Linked DNA regions of Coturnix japonica. Each later gene encodes a partner of the first gene's protein in a complex. Links are inferred from orthologs where the notes say so. Each region holds a gene or a part of one and is shown in the gene's direction. Other genes may lie near its edges.

What was found.
Region 2: TAF1A (region 1) and POLR1B share a complex: the UniProt entries of both Homo sapiens proteins name them as parts of the pol I pre-initiation complex. The link is inferred for Coturnix japonica from reciprocal best matches to the Homo sapiens genes TAF1A and POLR1B.
Region 3: TAF1A (region 1) and POLR2L share a complex: the UniProt entries of both Homo sapiens proteins name them as parts of the pol I pre-initiation complex. The link is inferred for Coturnix japonica from reciprocal best matches to the Homo sapiens genes TAF1A and POLR2L.

Annotation. Positions count from the first base shown.
Region 1 is NC_029518.1:15,725,709-15,729,024, forward strand, and holds the end of TAF1A (TATA box-binding protein-associated factor RNA polymerase I subunit A), read left to right. Parts: intron 1-186; coding exon 187-307; intron 308-1,470; coding exon 1,471-1,631; intron 1,632-2,481; coding exon 2,482-2,603; 3' UTR 2,604-2,816; downstream 2,817-3,316. UniProt on the Homo sapiens protein: Component of the transcription factor SL1/TIF-IB complex, which is involved in the assembly of the PIC (pre-initiation complex) during RNA polymerase I-dependent transcription.
Region 2 is NC_029518.1:13,944,413-13,948,676, forward strand, and holds the start of POLR1B (DNA-directed RNA polymerase I subunit RPA2), read left to right. Parts: upstream 1-1,464; 5' UTR 1,465-1,509; coding exon 1,510-1,662; intron 1,663-1,741; coding exon 1,742-1,909; intron 1,910-2,036; coding exon 2,037-2,183; intron 2,184-2,328; coding exon 2,329-2,461; intron 2,462-2,775; coding exon 2,776-2,912; intron 2,913-4,264. UniProt on the Homo sapiens protein: Catalytic core component of RNA polymerase I (Pol I), a DNA-dependent RNA polymerase which synthesizes ribosomal RNA precursors using the four ribonucleoside triphosphates as substrates.
Region 3 is NC_029520.1:8,951,784-8,954,044, reverse strand, and holds POLR2L (DNA-directed RNA polymerases I, II, and III subunit RPABC5), read left to right. Parts: upstream 1-1,147; 5' UTR 1,148-1,230; coding exon 1,231-1,325; intron 1,326-1,468; coding exon 1,469-1,577; 3' UTR 1,578-1,761; downstream 1,762-2,261. UniProt on the Homo sapiens protein: DNA-dependent RNA polymerase catalyzes the transcription of DNA into RNA using the four ribonucleoside triphosphates as substrates.

The DNA of each region.
Region 1 (3,316 bases):
CTCTAGACCCATGGACACTTCCTTGGCATTCTCTCTTGGAAGAGGCAGAAAGCAGTGGGGGGAGCCCTCAGTAATAGGGAAAGCAGCGGTATGTGGGAAGGCAGTTTGGAGAATGTTTTCCCTGTTGCTTACTAGTAAGTTCGTATTAATCCAACTGATTCATTTATCAGCCTAATTTCTTTCCAGAGAAACAAAAAAGACGTCGACTGGGGCTAGAAGTTATTTTTGCAGTCTTGGATTATGCTGGCTGGAAGGAAAGTGTAAAAGCATGGAGTTGTTTGGCGAGACAGGTGAAACAAATTGTAATGTGAGTGTAACTGATGTAAGGTGCTAAAAGAGGAATGTATGTGTCAAATCTCCTCCTGCGGGCAGTTGACAAAGTGACTCTTCTGTAGTCTTTGTCTTTCATGATGGCAAGTGGAAGAGTGGGCTGGCCTGTACTGAGATCTGTGGCTGTGCTTGGCTGCAGCATGCTTTCAGTGGCAGGAAAGAAGAAATTATTACTGAGAGAAATTCTTAAATTTCCAGTATTATCATTAGCTGAATTACCAGGTGAGGTGTTTATGCAGAAAATGCTGTTCAAATGTTTGGATAACATTTACTGCCTGTCACTGTTCTCCTTCCAGGAGGAAAAAAAACCCAACAACATTGTTTGGTCTTCTGCTATTAAACATATATTGGTTGCAGCAGATTTGAGGATGAGTGTGCTGCAAAAGGGATGTGGTGCGTTGTGCTGTTGTGTCGTGTTCTTCTTTGATAACTTTGGTGGTAACTTCTTCAGAATACAATGTGTTCTTAAAAGCCAAGTCAGAGTGCCTGGGGACTGATAAATACTTGCTTGTGTGTTGGGAGGAGGACTCTGTTTTCAGGAGCTCCATCTCCAGGCAATCCATGCTCAGAAGGTCTCTAATGTCTGGGGTTTTTTTTTCCCCAAAAGTAGAGGTTTTAATTTTTCTTTTAAGCCTTGTATACTTACAATGAATCAATTTAGTACCGCTTGACCCATTTTGCTGTTTTATTGCTGCCTCTACATACTCAGAAGGCCCGAAAGTTAATGGATTAAAACTGAGAGTGTTGTTGCATATAGTTAGGAAAAATGGTACAATACTTCAACTTTGCCTGTAGTTTTGCTTTTGAGAACACAACTTCAGAGTACCTTGAAATATACAGGGCATCTTAATCACTTTATAGGAATATCACTTCCCTGTTTTCAATTGTAAAATACTGTAAGGTCTCCACTGCCGAGTTAACTCCACTGAGTTAATGGAGTAAGGTAAGTATATGAAATACAGTAGTGTTTAATTATGCATAGATTTATCCAAAGTTTTTCTTTTAAAAAGAAAATTGCTGCTTAAATAGTTCAGCCTGCAGTGTAGTGTCAAAGTCTGCCAGCACACCAAGCTGATTATAAAACTCAGTGCCTCCTCTTTACTATTTCATCTCAGTTTTTCTTGTTTTACCTTTTTGCAGTTCTGAGAAGCATCTTAACTGGATTAAGAAGGAGTGGAACTCCAGAAAGGACTGGTGGCCAGCCTTCCATTTTAGCCGCTACTTAGCAAAGAGGAATTGGCAGGAAAATGAAATCCTTTCGTATGAAAAAGCTCTGGTGGCTGGAGTTCTACTAGGAAAGGGTAATACTAAATGTTCTTTCACACTGTGTACACTAGAAAAAACACCTAGTTCTAGCCCTAATGAGATAAGATGCAGCTGGTCTACTCCCTGGAAGAATGCTGTTTCTTTCTTCTAGGAAAGACTGTGGTCTTTGAAGTTCTATGGGAGAAAAACATTTAAAATGGTTTGATATTCCTCATTTAGAGACATACATTGCATAACTTGCCTTATCCCAGGTTTGAGTTCAATTTTATTTGGCCTTGTTGAGCAGTCACAATACTACAGACTCTGTTTATAACCTTGAAACCACAATTTCAAAAATATACAGCAGGCTCCTGAGGCTACAGAAAGTTTGCTCACTGAGCTACAGTCTAAGCAATGTCTTAGCAAATACTGAGGGTGAGGTGATCCTTAAGGACCTTGTGAGTGATGAAGCATAGAAAAGAGGAGGAAGGAGGTCTTGAGTGAAAATAGTCACTGTCCAATAAAAAAAAAAATGAAGATCAGGACTTCTATGGTGGTGTTCACTGAAACATTGATGAAATCAAGAAGTGGTGACGAAGTTCAGAATGAGAATATGGTGTGGAGAGCATAACTTATCTATTAAGTTTGGGCCTTTAGTTAATTAGAAGCTTTATTCTTTCAGTTCTGTACCTTACCTTCCAGACTCTGTAGAACAGTTTCTTGAGTTGAAAGCCTGTTTAGGTCTCAGTAATTTGATGCTGCAATTATGTTGATAATGTGTATGTCTTTGATTGTTTTATTACCTTATTTAATAGGTACTTGCATGCTTGTGTGTTACTTAAAAAGCAGAAGTGTTTTGTTTGCTTGTATGACAAAGCTGACATGGCTTTTTCTTCTCTTGCTTAGATTGCAAGTACTTTAAATACGTGTCACGCCAAGGCTGCAGAGCTCAGGTGAAAAAGTTTCGGACTCTCAAGAAATTTGTGAATAAGCACAGTAGTGCCTACCTGAGCATATCTGGTCTTTGAGATTCCTCTGTACAACTGTGATTAAAAGGTGTCTTGATGGTCTTGCTGCATTCTTTTTACCCTTTTGAAACTGGCTTTTTTTTTTATTGGCATTGGTCTAAAAGCTGCTCTAAAGAGATGAGCTGTCAACTCCAGTAGATATTTTTTATATATATTTCTGTTAAAAGCATTTGGTTTGTATTTATTTTGTAATAAAATAATTATGTAAATCAACAGATGATGCTGAAGAATTTCTTTGCTATCAGTTTTAGATTTCTCTGAAATACAAACAATCAGTAATTTCAGGCTTACCTTGAACTACTTGGTAATTATACTATAGAATCTGTGTTGGTGATACTGTGGAGTGAATCTTACGTTCAGTTGTATGGATGCTGATTTAAATGGCTGCTGGAACGTGGCTCAAAATCCACTCAGGGCTGGATGTGGCAATCCTAATTAGTAGGCTGTCTTAACCTATGAACAGTGTGTGATGCAGCATGAAAGCAACTTTCTCACTATACATGTTGCGTAACTTACTGTTTATGACTGATTTCCTAAAAATTTTTCTTCTTGGCCACCTGGGCACACTGTCAGCTCATGTTCAGCCCAGCATCAACCAACACCCCCAGGTCCCTTTCCTCTTCACAGTAATTCAGCCCCAAGCCTTTAGTGCTGCATGGGGTTATTGTGGCCAAAGTGCGGGACCTGGCACTTGGTCTTGTTGAGCCTCATCC
Region 2 (4,264 bases), about 1.8 Mb from region 1:
TACTGCCTGCCACTGTTTACCACCTGCCCTCAGCATGCTCACTGAGATAAAGCACGGGTGGGAAATGATAGAGGACAGACAGCACAGTGTCTGAGCTCTTGTCCCATGTATTAGCCAAGCAGGAGGGGACATGCGTGTGGCTGAGGCCTGAGCACTGCAGCTGTTGCAAGTAATGCCCGCAAAACCTTCAGAGACTTTGGGTGGTGTTTTTTTTTCTTAGAAAAATGCAAAACCAGATGTTTTCTAGCTCCTTTCAGCTCAAAGGGCAGTAGAATAGGTCTTAGTCTCTTTCCTAAGCTTTTGCAAAGGATGGTGCTAGGTTTCAAGAAGATACCCACCATATGGCGGGCTGTCTCTAGACTTAGTTCAGCATCAGCCATGAAGGATGTAGGATGCAGGTGCCCTGGCTGTTGACCAGCAGGGACTGGTCCAGCTGGATTCTGGGTTTCTGCAGACTCCCGTGTGGCAGCAGCAGCTCCTGTGCTCCTACCGAAGGCCATGACAAACACCGGAGAAGTCTGTGGAGGTCTTATATGCTGCTTCACTCAGCTGCTGTGACCTGTTGTCATCAGTGCCCTTTAGGATTGCTTGCATGTCCCCTGTCCTATCATTTAGTGTTCTCTGCGTGCAGCTCTCCTTGTGGGAGCTGTGCCATGCCATACATGCGTTAATGGTGGTGCCTCATTCCCACTGTCAGCTACTGCAGAGAGACATGGCTCGGAAAGCAGCCGATGCTGGGGGTGCATGGGACACTCCTGCCATGGCTCTGGGTCTCCGTGCTGGCCGCCTGCACGTCAGCATGCACGTGTACAGCCGGCAGGGCTCCCAGCTTGTGCTTTTCCAGCCGCCGTGTCCATGTCTGTCCTCAAGCATCATTAAAACAAGCAAATCTCCATGGCTGCGGTGTTTCTTTGGGACAGTGGGGTGACAGATCCACTGATGGAGGAACCAGTGCGGTGCAAGGAGCGCATCAAGCCCCATGGCAGTGGTTTGGTACAAGAGCAAGATAAAGGCAAACCAACAGGGCTACGTGCCAAATACCTGGGGGGATTTTGGGGTGTGATTTGTAGGCCTGATAATGGTGTTGGTGCAGGCAGGAGCTGCAAGCCTGCTCCGTAGAGATAAGCACCTCCTGCTTATCTGTGTGTGTGCCACCACCATGGGGCCGTGAGGGCGGGCAGGCTGCTGGCACACTGAGGGACTTGGGGATGCAGGCAGTGAAGGATGCGGCCCAGCGGGATGTGGGCACTGAGGGGATTGGTGCTGAGGGCTGCAGCACAGCCAGACGCGGTGCAGGGGGATGCTGTGCTGTGGGACACGAGCACTGCTGTCATGGCACAGGGCGCTGTTACATGGGGCGGGCACGGCACTCAGGAGCGATGGCTGCCATGGCCGTGGGCGGGAAGCACTCGGCAGCACGCGCTCCGCCTCGCGACCGTCCCGCCCCGCCCCGCAGTGTCCCGGCAGCCGGCGGGGCGGGGCGGAGCGGAGGAGGCGCACGGAGGCAGCATGGCGGCCGCCATGGAGCAGGGCATGGCCCACGAGCCGCACCGATTGAGACGGCGGCAGCGGCCCCGCAGCGGAGTACGGCGAGACCTGACCGCCGCGCACATCGAGTCCTTCAACTACGCCATCAGCGAGGGGGTGTACCGAGCGCTGCAGGTGCCGGGGGGGGCGAGCGGGCTGCGGGGATGGCGCTTGGTGGAGCTCGCCCTGACTTGTGGGCTGCCGTGTGTTGCAGGACATCCCGCCCTTGGAGCTGGCGCTGAAGGACGGCCGCGTGGCGCTCACCGTGGTGGGGGTCGCCATCTCGCCGCCCTTGGTGCCCAAGGGGACGCTGTGCCACGAGGTGAAGGTGTTCCCGGCCGAGTGCCGCGGGCTGCGCAGCACGTACCGCGGGAGGCTGACGGTGAGCGGGTTTCTTACCTCAGCTACGGCTTCGGGAAGCGTTCAGAGAGCTGTGTCCTGCGGTTATTATACCGGGAACAAAACGAGTCCAGCTCAGTCTGCTCACTGTTGGCTTTGTATCGTTTTAGGTTGACATCAGCTGGTCAGTGAATGGCATTCCACAAGGGACCATTAAACAGCCTGTGGGGTATATTCCAATCATGGTGAAGTCCAAATTGTGCAACCTTTATAATCTTTCTCCCCAAGAGCTCATCCAGCACCACGAGGAGGAGGAGGTAACGAGGATCTTGTGTATCAGGACAACATGCAGTATATTAGGCCAGTGTTAGGCTTGAGTGTTTTTATAACATAGTAGAAGCGTTTTCTTATTTTACTTGAAATTATACTTCAAGCGCATTAAAAGCCTTTTCTTTCTGACAGGAAATGGGGGGCTACTTCATAATTAACGGCTTAGAGAAGGTTATTAGAATGCTGATTATGCCCAGGCGCAACTTCCCTCTTGCACTGTCGAGACACAAGTGGAAAAACAGAGGTCCTGGCTTCACAGAGTACGGTAAGCTAAAGGCCTTGCTACCACATCCCTCCAGAAGCTGCTCATAAACAAACAGGGATGACCAACTAGAGCTGCTATTTTGTTGTTGCTGTTGCATGGTGTTCATGTTTTCAGGTAAATTGTACTACATAGGAAACCAAGTGGTTGGTAACACCATAGTGATGCATGAGGCAAGTGCTTGCCTTTCAGGTGGTTTCTGAGCTGCCTGTGCTGATCTACTGAATCATCTCACACCGGCTCGGACATCTCACATAAGTGCTGTCTGTATTTCTTGCTTAGCTCATGTTGGCTTTTGCTTCTGTTAATTCCTGCAGGAATAATGATGCACTGTGTTAAAGAAGAGCACAGCGCAATAAACATGAACCTTCACTACCTGGAAAATGGCTGCGTAATGTTGAACTTCATTTTTCAGAAAGAGCTGTTCTTCCTTCCCTTGGGATTTGCTCTAAAGGTAAACAAATAATACACATTACACTCTTTCTGTGTTAAATAAATGCAGAAGTTTCACTAAGCATTTCTATTTTCATGAGTAATGAGAGGCAGCTGATGCCATGTTAAGTATTTTCGGTCATATTTCCGATGTTGGTTGAAGAACTGTAGAGCAAACTGAGCCTGCATGTGTGATGCAGTGTGCAGGTGGAGCAGAGGAAGTGCATGCAGGCTTATGCCAAAGTATTATGGCTTCCTGCTAATGAATGTTGTGGATTAATAGTTCGTGGAGGATGTAAGGGCTTGTAACCTAACCAGAAAGATCCTAGGAGTATTTTTATAATTCATTGACCATTTAAGAAACTGTTAGGTCAGCCTCGACTATAACAGTGTTAATCATTAAAGTCAAGCTCTCATATAAAAGGAAACCAGTAAACTGGTTCTCTTCTTTTTTTAAAGGAGAAAAATAAAATGCTGTTTTTGTTTGGAACTGGAAACACTTAAGAATTGGAAGACAAAACCAGTAGTGCCAGTTTGAGCACATTGGGTGCAGTTAAGCTGCTCTTTAAGTAGCAGGGAAAGCTTGATGTTAGTCAAGCCTTTCCAAATTTCTCCATTAAAAACAGCAAAGCCTGGGTGCTTCAGCTGTGTGTTACACAGCAGCTAAGGGTTAGGGCAAATTGTGGCCTGTGGCACCACAGCTTGTCTGGTCTCAGGGAATTTACGTGTTCTTTCAGCCTCCTGTGTTCAGGACTTAAAATTAGTCAGCAGAGATAGGTAATTACCCTGTGTTTTAATAAGCAAGGGCATTATACTGACTTTAGCTTACAGGATGTCATAAGCTAAGCAGGCTGCACTGTCTAAAGTTTGAATTCTTCCATGAATATCATGCCATGGGTTTGCATGCCCCCTTCATCAGCCGTTTAATAAAGAAATCTGTCTACGTGTCTTTTTCATGCCGTTCCCATTTTTTTTTTTTTCTGTGAGCTTCTTGAAGGCTTTTTAAATGTAGTGGAGAGACAGTTTGCTTACAGATGGGGGAGGTTTGTCAGCCAGTTACTGGTGAGCAGAATGGTCACTTAAACCCTGACATAAACAACTAGGAAACATTATAACACCAAGTGCTCAGAACACAGGATTTAAGCATGAGATGTAGAAAATGAATTGCTGAAGCTGAAGTGGATTGTAATAGGCTAAGCTGTCTTTTGACTTCTGTGGAGATAAGGAGTTAACTTGAGACAAAAGAAGCCTTTTAAGATAGAGGATGCAAGTTTGTTTGTTTGTTTTTCCAAGGGTTTTGTTAGACTGGAACCACTTGTGATCATCACCTCATTCATATCCACTGTGCTGCTCTTGAAGTACATTAATCCCACA
Region 3 (2,261 bases), on another chromosome or scaffold:
CTGCCCAAGGACAACCGTGAAGCAAGAGGGCACTAAGGACCGACAGCGCTCGGGGTGACGCTTTAACCCAGTCTGTCCCGAACAGCAACGTGCCGCCCTCAAGTTACAAGCATCGCATAGCGCAGCACTCCGCGCGACGCTCACACGGGAGGATCGCACGCGGCTTCACGACGCATCCCCCGCTGCAGCCCAACTTCCCCGGCTGGGGGCAGCCAGTAAAGCTGCAACGCGACGCTCGCGGTGCCACGGCCGCCTCCACCCTCCGGGGAGCGGGATAGCGCCTCAAGGACGGCTTATGCCCCGTTTGCTTTCGCTGCGCGCGGCTCGCCGACAGACCGAGGAACGCTACAGCGGGCAGCCCTGAACCCCCCCACATCACCCCCCACAGCCCCCAGACCCGGAGTTCAGCAACTCCCGACTGACCTGCCGCCGCCACGGGACCGCTAACCTCGCTTACCCCGCTGACCACGGCAGCGCTCCGCAGCCCGGCTTCCTCCAAATGAGCGGGCAACGCCGCGCAAATCGGCGCCGAGCGCAGCTCACGGAGCGCAGCCCCTGCCCGGCTCCTTCCCCTTCCAAAGGGGAGCGAGGACACGGAGCAAACCGCCCCAAATTGGGGACGCCAACACAGCCGCGAGACGGACCGCGCCTGGCGCTACCAGTGCGCGCACCGGGAAGGGAAAGAAAAGGGAGGAAAAGGGAGGGGAGTGCGACGTGCTGCCCCGTCCCACAGCGCTGCCGTGCCCCGCTGGTTGGCGCCGGGCTGCAGCCACCAGTTGCGCTTCCACCCCGCGCGGCTGCGGTACCTCGAGCAGGACGCGATGAAGAAGTGCCTTCTGCAGAAGTCCGGGTGTAAAGCAACAAGTGAGAGCGCGGAAGGAAGGAAGGAGGGAGGGAGGGAAGGGCACGGCGCCTCCTCGGCTCGGCTCAGCCCGCCCCGCCGGTGTCTCCGCTCTGCGCTCCGCCGGCCCCGGCTGCCACCACGCGCCGCGCACGCGAAACGCGATCAGCAGCCCGCCCCGCTCGCAAACACTATTGAGCCGCGCAAGGAGCCGTAGGGCGGCCGCTACCATCCGCCGTCCTGTGCGGGAACGGGGGAGCTCCAGCGCCGCTCTGCATCCTCACGGCTGAGCAAGAACGGCTCGCACCGCCCGTGTCCCCCCGGTGCAGTGGGAGCGGCCGTAGGGCTGCGCTCGGGCAGCTGCAGGAGGAAGCGGCGCTGTGCGAACCATGATCATCCCGGTGCGATGCTTCACGTGCGGCAAGATCGTGGGCAACAAGTGGGAGGCGTATCTCGGGCTCCTGCAGGCGGAGTACACCGAGGGGTGGGTGTCATATTAACAGCACACGCTAATACCTTGCTTTAAACTAAGCTCAGAGCAATCATTGCGTTGCTTAGGAGCACTTACGAGCGGTTCTGACTCGTTTTGTATTTATTTCTTTTAATCGTGTTGTTATTTGTTAATAGAGATGCCCTGGATGCCCTCGGATTGAAGCGCTACTGCTGCCGCAGGATGCTCCTGGCACACGTGGATCTGATTGAGAAGCTGTTGAATTACGCACCGCTGGAGAAATGAGAGTTGATTGACCCAGCCACCAGCTTCTCCCAAGGAAATAAATGAAGGCCGACATCCACTTCACAGCTACAGCTTACATATGTAGATGTTTCTCTTTAATTACATACAGGTTGTTATTGGTTTCTTTTTGTGAACTTTAGGATGCTTTTGCCCGTAAAAAATAAATGTGTTTTATGAAATACAATCATTTGTCTATGTAAAATGTTGAACTAGAGGAAGCCTCTGCCTGTGGCCTTCCTGGAGTTGCTGGGTAGAGTTCAGCATACACTTCCATCTCACTATTTCCTCACAGTGGTCATTTTGAGGTTAGAAATACAGTGTTTGAAGCTAGGGCAATCAAGGGGGGTTAGAAAGAGAGCAAAGTTCCAGGCTCCAGAAACAGCACAGAGGATGTTTGTTTGCTATGAATGAGGCATTACTCTTAGTAGGTTGCAGTGCTAGCGGAGCTCATTTTTTCACTGAAGTCAGCCTATAGTGTCTTGTTAAAAATTGGGGCAGACTGGCAGCTCCATCACAGAAAACAGTAAATCAGGTGGCGCAGTGCTCCTCACTTAGGTAAAATACATCTGAAGGCAATGGATGTGAGAATTAATGCATGTAACTGTGAACAGGATCAGAGTCTTGCCAAACACCTGCACTGCTCTGTTGCTGGTATGAGTGCAAGCTTCCCACTTGTCAGTCATT